Pelodiscus sinensis: one gene and its partner. The protein of the gene in region 1 purifies or fractionates together with the protein of each later gene. This does not show direct contact. Links are inferred from orthologs where the notes say so. Each region holds a gene or a part of one and is shown in the gene's direction. Other genes may lie near its edges.

Region 1 (8,171 bases):
CGCATAGGGGGCCACTGCAGCGGACACAAACCCCAGTTCTAGACTTTTTGAAATAACACTACTGTAATCTGTCTCCTACTTTCATTTCCCATGAAAATACCAATAATGCAGCATGCTGTGAGTACAATAGGGTGTACTCGGTGTTGGAGGAATTACGCAATTAAAAGGGTATTTAAGCTAAAGATGCTTTCAAAAGCAAATAACCTTCCTGATGGTGTTAATGACCGATGAATTTATTAAAACTGAAAACTTAACTCAAATTTAAACATACTCCTGTTTTGCAGATACAATAGAATTGTGCATGAGAATCAGAAAAAGACTAGAAATAAAAGGACTAGCCTGGTTTTTTTGCTCATAAAAATATGCAAAATTGAAAACCACAAATAGTAAATTAAAGTGTTGAGGAGAAATATGGGGATGGTAAGTTCCTTCCAACCATATTTTTTCCCCAGCCAGCAGAGGTGTTCTCTCATTCAACTAATCAAAACAAAAACTGTTTTAATTAAAATCTTTAAAACAATCATGAATACACCCCTTTAATATTAGAAACATATTAATGTGAAACATCAAAATACCAACATATTTTTTTTGGCTTAAGCAACCTTACTGTCTTGTTTAAATTAAGTTGCATTCCCTTCGTTGCTAGTCTTTTTAGCCTAAGAGTATCTTGAGTACCTGATCTAGTATTATGCTACTAGAGATAATGAAATATTATTGTGTTTCTAATGGATACATTTAATGTTTAATTTTGAATACGTAACTGAAATATGAAAATGTTCATATACCTAAGTCATTTTTGATAAACTGGTGTGCAATTTTTCATTTTGTCTATCATTATTTATTTTCTAAGTGTTTTGTCCAGTTACTTCTGTAGTTGAATTTATTATACATGACTGGTAAAATATAATGTCTATATTGAAAAGTAAAAATTTATACTGTACATTTAAATTTTGAGGAACAGCGGGTAAATGAGAGTAAGTTTACTTGTTAAAGTAAATAGATGTATTTTTTGTAAAAAGCACGTTCTGGTTTTGTCAGATCAAAACTTTTAACTGGTCAATAAAAAATAATTTTGTTTTAAATAACATACTTAATAGTGCTCTCTGGCTTTATTTTAACATTCACCATTATAGAAATGTCATCTACTTTACCATGTAGTCTTTCAGAAGAATGTCAAATTGATTTTTCTGTAATCCATGCTAAAAGTGTAGTTGTCACTCTTTAGCGGTGGGACCACATATAGATGGCTTGACTCTACTTCCATGATGAGACCTGATTTTTTAAATTGTATTTATTTTAAGTTCCAGTCTTTGAATATGAAATCAAGCCTCCAGTAGTCCCAGGTTCAATATCCGATTCCCTAAACAAGGGTGGTGTTGGTGCTTTCACAGTTCAAGGCAACTGCATCTGATTTTCCCCCTCTATGAATCTAGCAAAGGGTACCTGTTCTAAGATCCCAGCTAGCTCCTCAGCTTATCAGGGCTTTCTTCCTCCTGACCAGGTTATTTCCAGGCTGCACAGTTCATTGCCTGTACTGTGAATTATCCAGCAAGTCAGACTGCCTAAACAATCCTGTTTTTTTGCTTTTCTCATCTAGAACTGTAAACAGTGTATGTACCACAATTAAGTTACCACACAGCTCTTTCTAAGCAAACATGTTTATTCTTAAGGTAAAAGAATTACAGGAAAAAACCATAGGGTTTTTATTGTTTTATGTACACTAAACTTACTAGAGATCACACCCCATCTCCCAAAAGGTCTCTGGTCTTAAGTCCTTTCAACACTTTCCTGAGAAATGAGGCCCTCTGGTTGGATAGAATGTCCTGTTAGCTGGATCAGAACGATGGTCCCATATTAATTTTGGATAGAATGTCCTGTTAGCTGGATCAGAACGATGGTCCCATATTAATTTAACTCAAACTACTTACGTTCTCGCATTTTGGGGGAGGAAGGTGTCCTGGAGAGTCCAGTTTGCACAAGTAAAGGCAAGACTCTTCCAGAGAGCTAGCACTGACAGTGTTACAACAGAAATGAATTTGCCTAGCCCAACCCCACTCCACCCTTCAACACCTCTTAATTCCTGGAGGACAGTGATCTCCCATCCTACATTGAATTGCATATGTTCCTTAGGCTACCACTGATGCATAAAATTAATGTTTATCCAGAGTATCACAGGAAACTCCCCAATCTATTATAGGTACATTTGGTTATCCTGTCTATAACTACTATACCGCAAACAGACCTGATCCAACCCAGGAATGAAAATGTAAGATCCCAATGTCCAGCATTCCACTGCTGTCCCCCAAAAGCTTGTGTAACCTAAGGGCAATGTGCTATGCCTCCCTATAAGGCAGGGCTACTCAACTTTGGAAGCCCTGAAGCCACAATGATACAGTGCATGCTGAGGGCTGCAACTTAAGTGTGGTTGCATATACATGCAAATAGCTTTTCACACTGATGGGCATGAATACAAAGATTGTTTTAAGCCGTAGCGCCGGACACAAACGTGGCCAGTTTGAGCCAGTCTGCACCTCTCAGGCTCTGCCCACAAGGCTGAGCGGCTAACCCTTCCCACAATGCCCTGGCACTCCCACACCACCTTCGGGGGTGGGGGGGAGTGAGGAGGAAGGGAGCTAGAAATGCTGATGCCCTGTACCCATCTGTTTCAGCCAGCCCATCCATCTGCATCTTTCAATGCTCACACCTCCTGGGAGATACCTTGCCCTTGTGGAAGTCGTTCCCAGTGTAGGCCATGTTCAAAGGATCCCACCTGCGGGCTGTATGCTGTGCATAAACCCAAACCCCACCATGGGCCGCAAATGAATGGGCTGTGGGCCACATGTTGAATAGCCGTGGTGAAAGGGGTGGTCTACATGAAGGATACCAGTATGCTTCATCTCCCTGCCCACAAATACCAGTATCACCACGAGTGCTGAAGTGGAATAGGTCTCTGCTGTGCACTGAAATATAACTGTCATGGGGTGGGAAAATATACATAGAACCAGGGCTTGCCAAGCTGCGGTGAGCCCTGCTCGCCAGCCACGCTGTCCGGCATTCTGTGCATGTGCAGATCACCCAGACCCAGCTCTTCCAGGTTGTAATCATCTTGCCACGGGCAAGTAGATCACATAGATTGTCGAGCCCTGCATATAATTCTAGTTTAAGAGCCCTGAAGCACTTGTTACACTATTTTGCAATGTGAAATCATTGTTTGGATGTGCTAATACAGTGTTTCTCAACCTTCTTTTTATAAAGTACCCCCTTTAAAAAAAAAAAAATTAGAAGTACCCCCCGTACCGACAGTTTTCAGACGCAATGGTAGAAAAAAGTGACTTTTTTAAACAACTTAATTGTAGCTGGGTGAGCAATGAAATTTTTGGCTGTAAAAATTACAAAAATAACAGCACTGTAAAACTTAAAACAAAAATTCAGTTCTCTAGATGTTATTGTTGAAGTACCCCCAGACGTCTCTCAAGTACCCCTAAGGGTACTCATACCACTGGTTGAGAAACACTGTGCTAATAAACTTTGCTATATTTTTACAAATGTTTAGTTTAGCAAAATGCATAGAAGACTTTCCCTCTTTACCCAAACAGAAGATTTCTTGCTGTTCAAGTGCCAAAAAAGACAGAATGTTAAGTTTATTTAACTTGCTTTTGTAGAAAACAATTGTCATTTTTCAAGGTGTAACTTTGCCTCTATCAGGTTGGGTATCTCAGAGCATTACTATTTGAGCTATAAAGCTGTGCCTCTCAACCTCTCCAGACTACTGTAACCCTTTGAGGAGTCTGATCTGTCTTGCTTACTCCCAAGTTACACATCACTTAAAAACTTCTTACAAAATCAGTCATAATTTAAAAGTGTCATAGCATACTATTGCTGAAAAATTGCTTAATATAAAATAGTATTGTCCCTATTTTACAAAGAGGTAGAGGGGTACAGCACCAAATCTCAACTTTATTTCTGGAATGCCAGTTCAGTTTCCAAAATTTTGTTAAGCTCCCTTATCACAGCATGTAGCTAATTAATTACCACACAATATGTGGCTTTATCTGATACACACCCCATCCAGTGCAATAGATTTTCTTCTCCGCATTCTTACATAAAACAATCTGCCCCTTTGCCAAGACACACTATAAAATCCTGGGGTAGCCAGGCATCTGTGGCCCCACAAAGTTGAGACACCTTGTCGACCTCCTCCTGGCCCTAGTGAAAGCTGACATGTACCACACCAGGAGAAGGATGCTGAACAAAGGGGTGTTCTGTGACTGTGGGGCCTATTTCTGCTTCTTCCTACACTCACATCGGGGCAGAGTTCTTCTGGGCAGTGTCCAGTTGCTCCCTGGATAGCTTCAAGGAGCAGTGGGTGCTGTCTAAGGTTCTCTGCTTGGTGTCTCCATCTGGCTCCGTTGTTTTGAACCTATGACCTGCACTCCTGATCCCTTTATTCATTGTTTGTCCCCCATAATCAATGGAATCCTGGGTCCAGTGGACCTTCCTGCAAGGCTCGGAGAGGGGCTTTTAGAAGTGAACTGGGCTTGTGCCTGCCCACGTCCTTGGATTCAAATAGTGACTCAGAAGAGGGAATGGCTGCTGCTCTGCCTATTTATACCCCCCTTCTGTTCTTGTCACCACCAGTTGGAGCTCTCCCTGCCTTCCCCTTCCCTAACACAAAGTGGATGCTGGGCTCTGGTCAGGACTGTTGACTATGCTGTTAAAAGACTAGTCAGTAGCAAGATGGGGCTAAGGTGGGCTGAAGCTACTGGTATGTTTCAGCTTTCCCCTGGCATATGTGGGGCTGGGAGGCAAGGAAGCTGTGTGCCCCGTCTCCCTGAGTACTGGCTCTGCAGCTGCCATTGGCTGGGAATCACCACTATGGGAGTTCCAGGCAGCAACCTTAGATAAGTGCCCCCTGCAACCCACCAGCATCGCAGCCCCACTAGGCTGGGAGGGGGGTGGAATGGGGGGCGGGGCAAAGGGAACAGAGCGTGCTATTAGAGAGTTGCCATGGCAACCCTACAGCCCTACCCAGCCCTGGCTGTGGGCTCCGCGGGCGCTGCCCAGCAGGTGGCGCTGCATCCTTGCAAGTCCCCCCCCCCCCCGGGAAGTGTCAGCGCGCGCATGCGTGGTTCGTGCGGGCGAGCCGTGGTGCGCGGGAAAGAGGAACCCGGCCGGCGGCACCCGCCTCCTTTGCCCCGCGCGCGCCTGCCTCAGGTAACCGGCAACCGAAGGCTCGGGGCGGGGAGGGGGGAGCGCCGGGGGCGGTGACCCCGCTGTAACCGCGGTGCGCCCCCCAGTATTGGAGGGTGATGGGGGGGTGACGCTGGGGACGCGGCGCTGGGCTTTGGTGAGAAGCAGCTACAGGGTCGCTGCGGCTTCCTCCCCCCTGCCCCAGGGGCGCGCTGCTGCCGGGCCGGTGTTTTCTGGGGGGCGGGGGCGCTGGAGCATTTTGAAAGGGGGGGGGGTTGGTTTGCGGGTGTATCCGCTCCGCCCCCCTCTGCCTGTGTCGCTCCGGGGGGATTCGCCCTTTTAACCGCGGGTTTGTGCGTGTGACGCTCCTGCGCCCTGTCGGCAGCGCGGTGGCGATGTGCAGAGCCGGAAGAGAGCCGCTGGGTCAGCGAACATTGCTCCCTTGTTGCTGAGGCCTCTCTTGTTCAAACGCTTCCGAGGGGTAGCCAGGCTGGAACAGCAACAACTGAAAAAGCAACAGATAGGCTGGTAGCACTTTATAGACTAACAAAACATGGAGATGGGATCGTGAGCTTTCGTGGGCACAGCCCACTTCTTCAGATGGCCACAATGCTGGCCATCCACGACAGTCGCTCTCTGAGTTACGCCCACCTCCACTTTTACGACCATCCGCACTTAGGACCAAAGCAGTCGGAAATGCGGATCCGAGTTCCGAACGGCGATCCATGCTTACGAACAGCGCCGTCGCCATGTAACACTATGGGATCCAAGTTGTGAACACTTCGAGTTACGGACCAAGTGTTGGTGCGTAACTTGTTCATAACTCGGGGAGCGGCTGTACTCCGCTCATCTGAAGAAGTGGGCTGTGCCCACGAAAGCTCATGATACCATCTACATGTTTTGTTAGTCTATAAAGTGCTACCAGACTATTTTTTTAGCATCTTTTGTGTGACTAGTAAGCAGCTCTTCTCTTTTCTTAGGAGGAAGAATTTCTGTTCTGATCCATCTCAAGTCCCACTTTTCCTAGGTTCATCTCTCTTCCCTCTCCAGCATGCTAAATCTTTTCTCTTCATTTTACCTTAACTTTCATGGTCCATGAGGTCTGCTGCACTGAACAGTGAATTCCTCTTTTACCCATCTCTCCCTGCTTGCTGTGTTTCTAGCATTATTCTTGCTGCACTTGCTGACTCAAAAACCAGCCTATGCAATTATTTTTGCTGCAGTCAAAGCAGGCAGTGGAGGGATCAGAGCAACATGAAGAATGCAACCACTTTGAGATCTGGGGATCGGAAAACATTTATGTCCAAAGAAATGTACCTAAACACTGCTCCAGCACAACTCTGTCATCATAATAAGATTTCCAGTCATGGAGTTGAGAGCTATGGCTTATTCTCTGAAAAGGTTATTGCTCTTGCAGAAAATGTCAGTTATCATAAACTAGGGGTGAGCAATAATTTTTGATGTGGTGGGGCCACTCCAAAATGTTGGTAAGTGGTCAAGGGCCACACTTTTCTATGGAGGGGATGGGAGGTCTGAGATGGAGGATGGGTGCAGAATGGAGCTTGAGGTAGAGAATTTGGGTGCAGGAGAGGTTATTAGGGGGTGTTTGGGTGAAGGACAGGGTTCACAGTGCACAGAGCTTCCCCCTTCCTCCTGACCACAGAGAGGCTGTGTCTAAACTGCAGGGTTTTTTCGAAAAAAAGTAGCCTTTTTTCGAAAAAAACTTCACCTGCATCTAGACTACAGCCTCGTTCTTTCAAAATTACATTGAAAGAACACGGCTTTTCTTTCAATGGTGGCACTCCTCATTTCACGAGGAATAACGCCTTTTTTCAAAAGTGCTCTTGCAAAAAAAGGCGCTGTGTAATGCAAACTGTGCTTTTTCGAAAGAGAGCATCCAGACTGATTGTAGTCTAGATGCTCTTTTTTGAAAGAAACTTGCAGTCTAGACATAGCCAGAGAGAGATGGAACAGCTAGCCCTCTGAGCTCTGGGGCTGCTCCCTGCCTGTGGATCGAGTGGGACATGCCACAGGGCAGACTGAGACACTGGGCCCCTTGCTTTCACATCTGTCCAAGTGGGTTGTGCCCACGAAAGCTCATGATATTTATATATTTTGTTAGTCTCTAAGGTGCTACAGGACCAATGTTGTTGTTTTTTTCCCTTTTTTTTAGTTACAGACTAATACTGCTACCCCTCCGAGACTTTTAGTAATCTTTTGTAATTTACTGTAATGTTTTTCTTAAAATTTCTCTGTTTGTTATTAACTTTGACTATAATTCTTGTAAAAATAAATGCAAAATATCTGATATCTGCCATGTTTTCCTTTAAAAAGAATGAAGGTCATCACTTGTGAAATAGCATGGCACAACAAAGAGCCGGTGTATAGCTTAGACTTCCAACATGGAACTGAAGGGAAAATCAATCGACTGGCCTCAGCAGGAGTAGACACTGCTGTTCGTGTGAGTTCCAAATTTCGCTGATTTTAGTGTGAGCAGAATATCTAACAAGACATTTAATTTTACTTAAAAATCTCACATTCTTCCAGTTTCCTACTGCCCCACAAGTGAGTGACTCAGATAAAAGGTTATGAGAAAGTGGGCCATGAGTTTTGTCAACTTGAGTTTAATTTTCTGAATAATAATGCTTCTTAATTTCATCAAGTTTGGGTAAGATTTTTGAAATATCTGCATTCCTTCTGCCTCCTTGCAAAATATATAAATAACGGAACTGAAGAAAATGGTGCACAAGATTAAAAATTAATCAATTTTCAGGTATATAGCAGGCAATTTACTATATGTAATTCTTTTATAACTAGATATGGAAAGTGGAAAAAGGACCAGATGGGAAAGCAATTGTGGAATTCTTATCAAATCTAGCTCGCCATACGAAAGCAGTGAATGTTGTGCGTTTCTCTCCCAATGGTGAGGTTTTAGCATCAGGAGGAGACGGTGAGTAACAAAAAACAATATAAAAAAGATA
Region 2 (7,579 bases), on another chromosome or scaffold:
GCACATGGTTCCCTCCCCTATCCAATGCCCCCCACTCTGCACATGGTTCCCTCCCCCCCCCCACTCTGCACATGGTTCCCTCCCCTATCCAATGCCCCCCTCCCCTCCTCTGCACATGGTTCTTCCTTCTCCCCCCCCTCCCACGGTTCCCGCCCCCCTCCTACCCAATGCCCCTCTCCCCCCACTCTGGCCATGGCTGCCTCCCCCCTACCCCAGCGCCCCCCGCTCCGGAGACCGCCCCTGCCCCGGCTCCTCACCGCTTCCCGCAGGACAGGCGTCTGCAGCCGGCGCGGCCCCTTTAAGAGGTGAAGGGCTGGGCCCGGCCCCTTATAGCCACGCTCAGGGGCTCCTTCCGGTGCGGTCCCGGGGCAGGCTGGGAGTTGTAGTTCTAGCCCCTCCGCTCCCCCCCCCCCCACACACGCCCTCTACCCCGAGGGGGATGCAGATGCAAACAAGCCCGAGGCCAAGCTGAGAGCAGAGCGAAGAGGGGGCCAGCGGGAGGAAGGGGGAGGAGGATGAGGAGGGAGGGAGCTGGAGAAGAGGGGTGCATGGGTGTGCAGGGTGGTCCCCACCCTGAGGATGCAGACTCTGACAGATGCCCATGTTGATGGATGTCTTTGAGTCCCCCCCTGTAAAACCAGCCTCCCCAGGGGACAAGGTGGGCGAGAGGAAAACTTTTTGTTGGACCAAGGGCAGCCGGGGAGAGAGACAAGCCCCGAGTTTGGGGAAAGGTGAGGAGGGCACATCGGCATGTGAACCACTGGCGCGCTTAGCCCACGACCTCACGCTACGGCCTGCCGTCGGCAGAGCGTCTGCCGCGCACAGGGCCGGCCCGTAACATTTTGGTACCTGAGGCGGGGAGCTCAAGTGACGCCCCTGTGCCCCTTCTCCTGCCTGACCGTTACGTCTCTTGTGCCCGCCTTCCTCCTGCACAGCGCTCCTCCAGCTCTGTGCATCGAGAGCAGAGAGGATACAGATGCACCAGCAGCAGACACAATTTTCTACACTCTAGTGCCCCCCCCCCCAGTCTGGCCCCTGAGGTGGCCGCCTCAGTTCGCCTCATGGGAAGGCCAGCCCTGGCCGCACAGGAACAGGAACTTCGCACCGCGCTGCGCAACGTGAGTTACTCCAACGTAAGCGCCTGCGTGCCCGGCGCCGTGTCAGCCGGAGAGCTTTAACCAACGTAGCTTGTGCCGCTCATGGAGGCGGTTTTATTTATACCAGCCAAGAGAGCTCTCTCCGGTCAGTATACTTAATCCACCTCCTCCAAAGGCAATAGCTGTGCCAACCCCAGTGTACACATGGGGGTACAGTCAGGAGAGGAAATTTGAGCAACACCTTCAAAAGACAAGCCTGAAAACTAACATTCATGATTCTGCTAGATCCTCAAAATTATGGGCTGAGTAGAAACACTGGATTTATTCCTTATTATGACACTTAAACGCTGCTCCACGTTTTTTCCTTCCTTCCCCACCCCCCTTGTCCCCAGGCGTTAACAAAGGGCACTTCACTTTGAATGAGCCCTTAAGTGTGGTAGCTACTGATGTTAATCCATCTGCTCCACCTTGTACCCTGAATACATTTTCCAGACCTGAAGAAGAGCTATGTGGAGTTTGACAGCTTGTCTCTTTCACCAACAAAAGTTGGTCCAGTAAAAGATGTTGCATCCCCAGCCTTATCTCTTTAATATCCTAGAACTAATAGACAGCAGAGCTGCCCTTCCTCCTTCCCCCCCCCCCCCCCCCCCCCCCCCCCCCCGACAACCCTCTCTTGTTTCATCAAGGCCTTTGTGGAGGCCTTTAAGAAGTGTTGCCAACTCCCACGCTTTTGTCATCCTTCTCAGGACATTCCATGTTTTTCTGGAGTCAAATTATTCGTGGGAATCTCAGCTTTCATTGGAAACAAAAGTACGTTCCTAGCCCGCTGCAGAGAAAAGCTTGAAAATGTGACCTGCGTAAACCCAAAGGCTCAGAAAAGAAAACTACAGGGCTGAAGGTGAGAAGAACAAAAAGGAGCTCCCTCCCCCTCTTTCCCTTGACTTGGGTGAGCAGTCCTTCCTCCTCTCCTACGGGATTGATCCCATGACCACTTCCTGTCCTGGGTCAGCTTGCGTAACCAGTGCCCAGCAAAACAGCATTCCAGGGAGCCCAAGTGGAAAGTGTTGAAGGTGGGATGTTCCAGGAACACAGGCCTGGTAACAGCAGCCTCTAGTGACTCAGTATCCCTGCCACCTGACAGTACTAACCCTTTGGTAACCCTGACCCATTTTCCTTGGCTGTGTAATGGAAATACAGATGAGTCCCATACATGCAGGACTTTCTGCACATGCATAGTGGCATCACGACCCATCTTTACACTGTGGCTGCCCCTAATCCCAGACCTACCTGGTTGGTGGTGGCTAGTGTCACGCAGCACAAACCACACATAAGCTGGCTGTGTCTAGACTGGCCAGTTTTTCCAGAAAATCAGCTGCTTTTCCGGAAAAACTTGCCAGCTGTCTACACTGGCCGCTTGAATTTCCGCAAAAGCACTGACAATCTCATGTAAGATTGTTGGTGTTCTTGCGGAAATACTATGCTGCTCCCGTTCGGGCAAAAGTCCTTTTGCGCAAAACTTTTGCACAAAAGGGCCAGTGTAGACAGCTCAGATTTGTTTTCCGCAAAAAAGCCCTGATGGCGAAAATGGCGATTGGGGCTTTTTTGTGGAAAAGTGCATCTAGATTGGCACAGACACTTTTCCGTGCCAATCTAGATGCTCTTTTCCGAAAATGCTTTTAACGGGGGTGGTGTTGTTCTTTCGTGTTCTATAGCAGTATTGCCCACCTCAAGCTTTCCAACATCAGGCCTTTAAAAATCATGTGATTAGCTTTAAAACCAAATTTTTAAAAAAAGAATAAGCGCTGTGGTATTTTTGTTTGCTTTCTGGTTTACAAGTCTTTGGGGGCTTTTTAGCATAAAGAAGGTTTATTGAGCATTTTTATTTCCCTGTTTCATAACACATGAAGATGGTGGTAAAACCAACAAAAGGAAATACTTCTTCATCCACGGTGTGATAAAAACGTGAAACTCGTTACCACCGGAAGAAATTGAGGCCAAGAAATTAACAAACAACAGATTGCACCTCTAGTCCAGAGCTCTCAAGACCTGACTGGTGCCAAACCAGAGAATTTGCTGAACCAGGAGAGGTCAGTATTAACTAGCAGCATTACTAACACTGCCACTGCTTACTGGGCTCTTAGAAGACTAAATAACAGCCCAGAGCACTGAGAGCCAGGTCGGGTGGCTGTAAACAAACTTTATGGCACCGCGGGAACTTGGCCACACCCACTGTAAGTTGCCATCCGGCTGCCTAAAATCACGTCGGATCATGGATGGTGCCAGACCAGAGTGCCAGACTTGAGAGGTTCAACCTGTATTAAAAAGAACAAAAAACAGGACCATGTAGCACTTTAAAGACTAACAAGATGGTTTATTAGGTGATGAGCTTTCGTGGGCCAGACCCACTTCCTCAGATCAAATAGTGGAAGAAAATTGGCACAACCATATATACCAAAGGATACAGTTAAAAAATGAACACATATGAAAAGGACAAATCAAATTTCAGAACAGAAAGGGGATGGTAAATGTCTGTGAGCTAATGATATTAGAGGTGATAATTGGGGAAGCTATCTTTGTAATGGGTAAGATAATTAATGTCTTTGTTTAAACCTAAGTGTAAAGTGTCGAATTTAAGCATGAATGACAGTTCAGAGGATTCTCTTTGAAGTGTGGTCTGAAAAGGCCTTTGAAGCAGGATGCAGGTAATCAAGTCATTGAGACAGTGTCCTTTCTGGTTGAAATGGCAAGAAACTGTTTTTCTTTGTGATCCTGTCTAATATCTGTTTTGTGGGCCTTGATCCTTTGGCAAAGACATTTTTTGTAACTGTATTAAAGGGATTGGATATTTAAATAGGTATCAAGGCTATGCAGTGCCATACATAATCCCCACACACGTTTGAAGGGATATTAACCCTTATACTTCAGCCTAATCAGGCTCTTAACTGCTGGAGATCAGGGTGAGACCTGCAGGAGGGAACTCGTCCCCTAGGTGCGGGCTGGATGATTCTCTCGCCTTTCTCTGGCGCATCCTGGGCTGGCCACTGTGGGCTCAGTGGGGTCTGCGCCGCTCTGCAGAGGCCAGTGCTCCTAGGGGCGGCAGTTCCCTTTTCACTGGAGTCCCCTGCCTCCGGGAGCTGGAGCTTTCCGCCGCGCTCAGCCGGGGGCTTGCTGAACTCATGGACAGGGGGAGCGGTGGCAGCCCTGCAGCCAGCCTGGGCGGAGGGGGGAGCCTGTGGCTCCCTGGGGCCACGCACGTGGGCTGGGCTTGGTTGGGCTCCCCCCTCCAGCTCTCCCGGACTACAACACCCAGCAGGCAGCGCGGCGAAAGGGCGGGCGCCGCTAGGCCTGCTGGGAGCCGTCGTCCAACGGCGGGACTCCATGGCCCAGCGTGCCGCGGGCGGGGCGGGGGTCGCCGCGCAGGCGCAGTGCGCTCGGCGGGTACAGGGGGTTGCTGGGCTCTTTTGTTTGGCGGAGGCGGATCGCGAGCGGCCAGGCCTGTGGCGCCCCCGGCAACGGACCCGGCCCCCCCGCCCCCGCCTCAGCTCGGCCCGGCCCCGCGCGCAGCCCCGCTCCGCCCCGGCACCGTTGGCGAGGCTGTGAAAAGTGAGCGGGGGGGCGGGGCGCTGGGGGGGGAGGGGGGAGCTGCAGGGGGGCGCGGGGGGGGAGGGGGGAGCTGCAGGGGGGCGCTGGGACGGGAGGGGGGAGGGGGGAGCTGCAGGGGGGCGCTGGGACGGGAGGGGGAGGGGGAGCTGCAGGGGGGGCGCTGGGACGGGAGGGGGGAGAGGGAGCTGCAGGGGGGCGCTGGGACGGGAGGGGGGAGGGGGAGCTGCAGGGGGGCGCTGGGACGGGAGGGGGAGGGGGAGCTTCAGGGGGGCGCTGGGACGGGAGGGGGGAGGGGGAGCTGCAGGGGGGCGCTGGGACGGGAGGGGGGAGGGGAGCTGCAGGGGGGCGCTGGGACGGGAGGGGGAGAGGGAGCTGCAGGGGGGCGCTGGGACGGGAGGGGGGAGGGGGGAGCTGCAGGGGGGCGCTGGGACGGGAGGGGGGAGGGGGGAGCTGCAGGGGGCGCTGGGACGGGGAGGGGGAGCTGCAGGGGGGCGCTGGAACGGGAGGGGGGGAGGGGGAGCTGCAGGGGGGGCTGGGACGGGAGGGGGAGGGGGGAGCTGCAGGGGGGCGCTGGGACGGGAGGGGGAGGGGGAGCTGCAGGGGGGCGCTGGGACGGGAGGGGGGGAGGGGGAGCTGCAGGGGGGCGCTGGAACGGGAGGGGGGGAGGGGGAGCTGCAGGGGGGGCTGGGACGGGAGGGGGAGGGGGGAGCTGCAGGGGGGCGCTGGGACGGGAGGGGGAGGGGGAGCTGCAGAGGGGCGCTGGGACGGGAGGGGGGAGCTGCAGGGGGGCGCTGGGACGGGAGGGGGGAGGGGGAGCTGCAGGGGGGCGCTGGGACGGAGGGGGGAGGGAGGAGGGGCTGCAGGGGGGCGCTGGGAGGGGGAGGGGGGAGCTGCAGGGGGGCGCTGGGACGGGAGGGGGAGCTGCAGGGGGGCGCTGGGAGGGGGAGGGGGGACAGGAGGGGGGAGCTGCAGGGGGCGCTGGACGGGAGGGGGAGGGGGGAGCTGCAGGGGGGCGCTGGGACGGGAGGGGGAGGGGGGAGCTGCAGGGGGGCGCTGGGACGGGAGGGGGGGAGCGGGAGCTGCAGGGGGGTGCTGGGGGGGGGCGCTGGGACGGGAGGGGGGCTGCAAGGGGGCTCCGGGAGGGGGAGGGGGAGCTGCAGGGGGGCGCTGGGATGGGAGGGGGAGGGGGAGCTGCAGGGGGGGCGCTGGGAGGGGGAGGGGGGAGCTGCAGGGGGGCGCCAAGACGGGAGGGGGAGCTGCAGGGGGGCGCTGGGATGGGAGGGGAAGCTGTAGGGCTAAATTGTACAACTAGGATTAGGTGGGGTCTGGAATGGGGGGGCTGCATTTTGGGAGGGGAGGGTTTGCTGCAAACAGTGCTCTTGGGGCTGGGATTTGGGGGAGGGAAGCTGGCATTGGGAGAGGGAGCTCGATTGTGGGGGGCAATGGGGAAGCTGGGACTTGGTGGGGAAGGGGAGAGATGCATGGAAACTTTGTAGAGCAGGGATTGGAAGGGGGCGTGGGGCTCGAGAGAGGGACCCAGGAGAGCTGGGTGCAGAGGGGAGCTACATCTTTGGCAAGGGGAGGTTGAAGGGGGTGGGTGGCCGGGTGGCCGCGCCAGGAGCCATGGGGAGTGGGGATGTGTACACGGGAGAGGAGCGTCACAGAAGGGGGAACGCAGCGGGTACCTGGGGGGTAGCTCCGTGGCTGTGAAGCTGCAGGTGAGGTTCCGAGGAGCAGTTGTTGTTCCCAGGTGGTCCTAGGCAATGAGGGGAGCTAGCCCAAGGGCTGTCTCGTGGGGATGTGGATATGGAACTTTCAGAGGGGGCAGAACAGACTCTAGTGGGACTGGGGCTTGGGGAAGGGACACTTGGAAATGAAGCTGCACTAAAGAGACAGGATGGGGCACATGGAGCTGTGCTCTGAATGGGAACCATGGGGCATGTAGAGAAGAAGCTGCCTCCGTGGAGGGAACCGGGGTGAAGCTGCACTCTGGGACATGTGGCCCCCAGTTCAGCTGCAGACTGCCCAGGTTGGGGTGACAGTAAACCTGAAGAAGGGGAGAGAATGAAGCTATGGAATGAATGAAGCTGCGCCAGGCGTATTGGGGGTAGTTGATGGCTTGCTGGAGTGTGCCTGATGGAGAGAGGTATGGGGTACAGCTGCGCCAGGAGGTCCTAGGGAGGCACTGAGCTTTCGTGGGCACAACCCACTTCTTCAGATGAATGAAGTTAAGGGGTCCAGTTTACAAATAAAAGGCAGGGAAAGAAAGGGGATGGGGGGAGATGCCCCCGAAAGCTCATGATCCCCTCTACATTTTTTGTTAATCTGTAAGGTGCTGCAAGACTATTTGTTGTTTAAGTTTTTTCAGTTACAGACTAACAGGGCTACCCCCTCTGAAACCCAAAGATCCTGTGTGTGGGGAAAGTGGGAGGAGAGGTGGGCTGAGAGGTGGGCTAGGGGGATGGCAGAGACTGGAGTGGATCTGAAAACTAGAGCGTGATGAAGCTGTAGTTGGGGAGGTGAGAGCTACGCTGAGGGCCTTGGGATGCTGGAATTGTGCTGGCAGTGTTGGGGCTAATGGAGTTGCAGAGGCGAGGTGTGTGTCCTGTGACTACAAAGTAAAGTGGGTACGATAATGGGACTGTTATGATGTTTAGGTTCTAAATGCAGGTTTTGTTAAGGGCTTTTAAACCATTTTAATTAACTAAGATTCTATGAATCTTGGGCTTTCTTACACAGGTAATTTGTTTGGATTAAACAGCTCCCGCCAGGTTTGCAATTCAAACGTCACAGCTTTGTCTTAATTCTGGAGAGCAGGGCAGTGAAACTGGCTAGAAATAGACAAGACAGGCTGGTATTTCACTGTCCTCTCAAATTGA

The links. The genes of interacting proteins can lie anywhere in the genome.
Region 2: the proteins of CHAF1B (region 1) and CBX1 purify together in Homo sapiens (affinity purification with mass spectrometry; 4 studies listed by BioGRID and IntAct, with this or other methods). This does not show direct contact. The link is inferred for Pelodiscus sinensis from reciprocal best matches to the Homo sapiens genes CHAF1B and CBX1.

The regions. Positions count from the first base shown.
Region 1 is NC_134711.1:185,728,939-185,737,109, forward strand, and holds the start of CHAF1B (chromatin assembly factor 1 subunit B), read left to right. Parts: upstream 1-5,072; 5' UTR 5,073-5,214; intron 5,215-5,254; exon of another isoform or gene 5,255-5,347; intron 5,348-7,524; 5' UTR 7,525-7,525; coding exon 7,526-7,651; intron 7,652-8,007; coding exon 8,008-8,140; intron 8,141-8,171. UniProt on the Homo sapiens protein: Acts as a component of the histone chaperone complex chromatin assembly factor 1 (CAF-1), which assembles histone octamers onto DNA during replication and repair.
Region 2 is NC_134739.1:13,775,198-13,782,776, reverse strand, and holds the start of CBX1 (chromobox protein homolog 1), read left to right. Parts: upstream 1-4,535; 5' UTR 4,536-4,700; intron 4,701-7,579. UniProt on the Homo sapiens protein: Component of heterochromatin. Recognizes and binds histone H3 tails methylated at 'Lys-9', leading to epigenetic repression. Interaction with lamin B receptor (LBR) can contribute to the association of the heterochromatin with the inner nuclear membrane.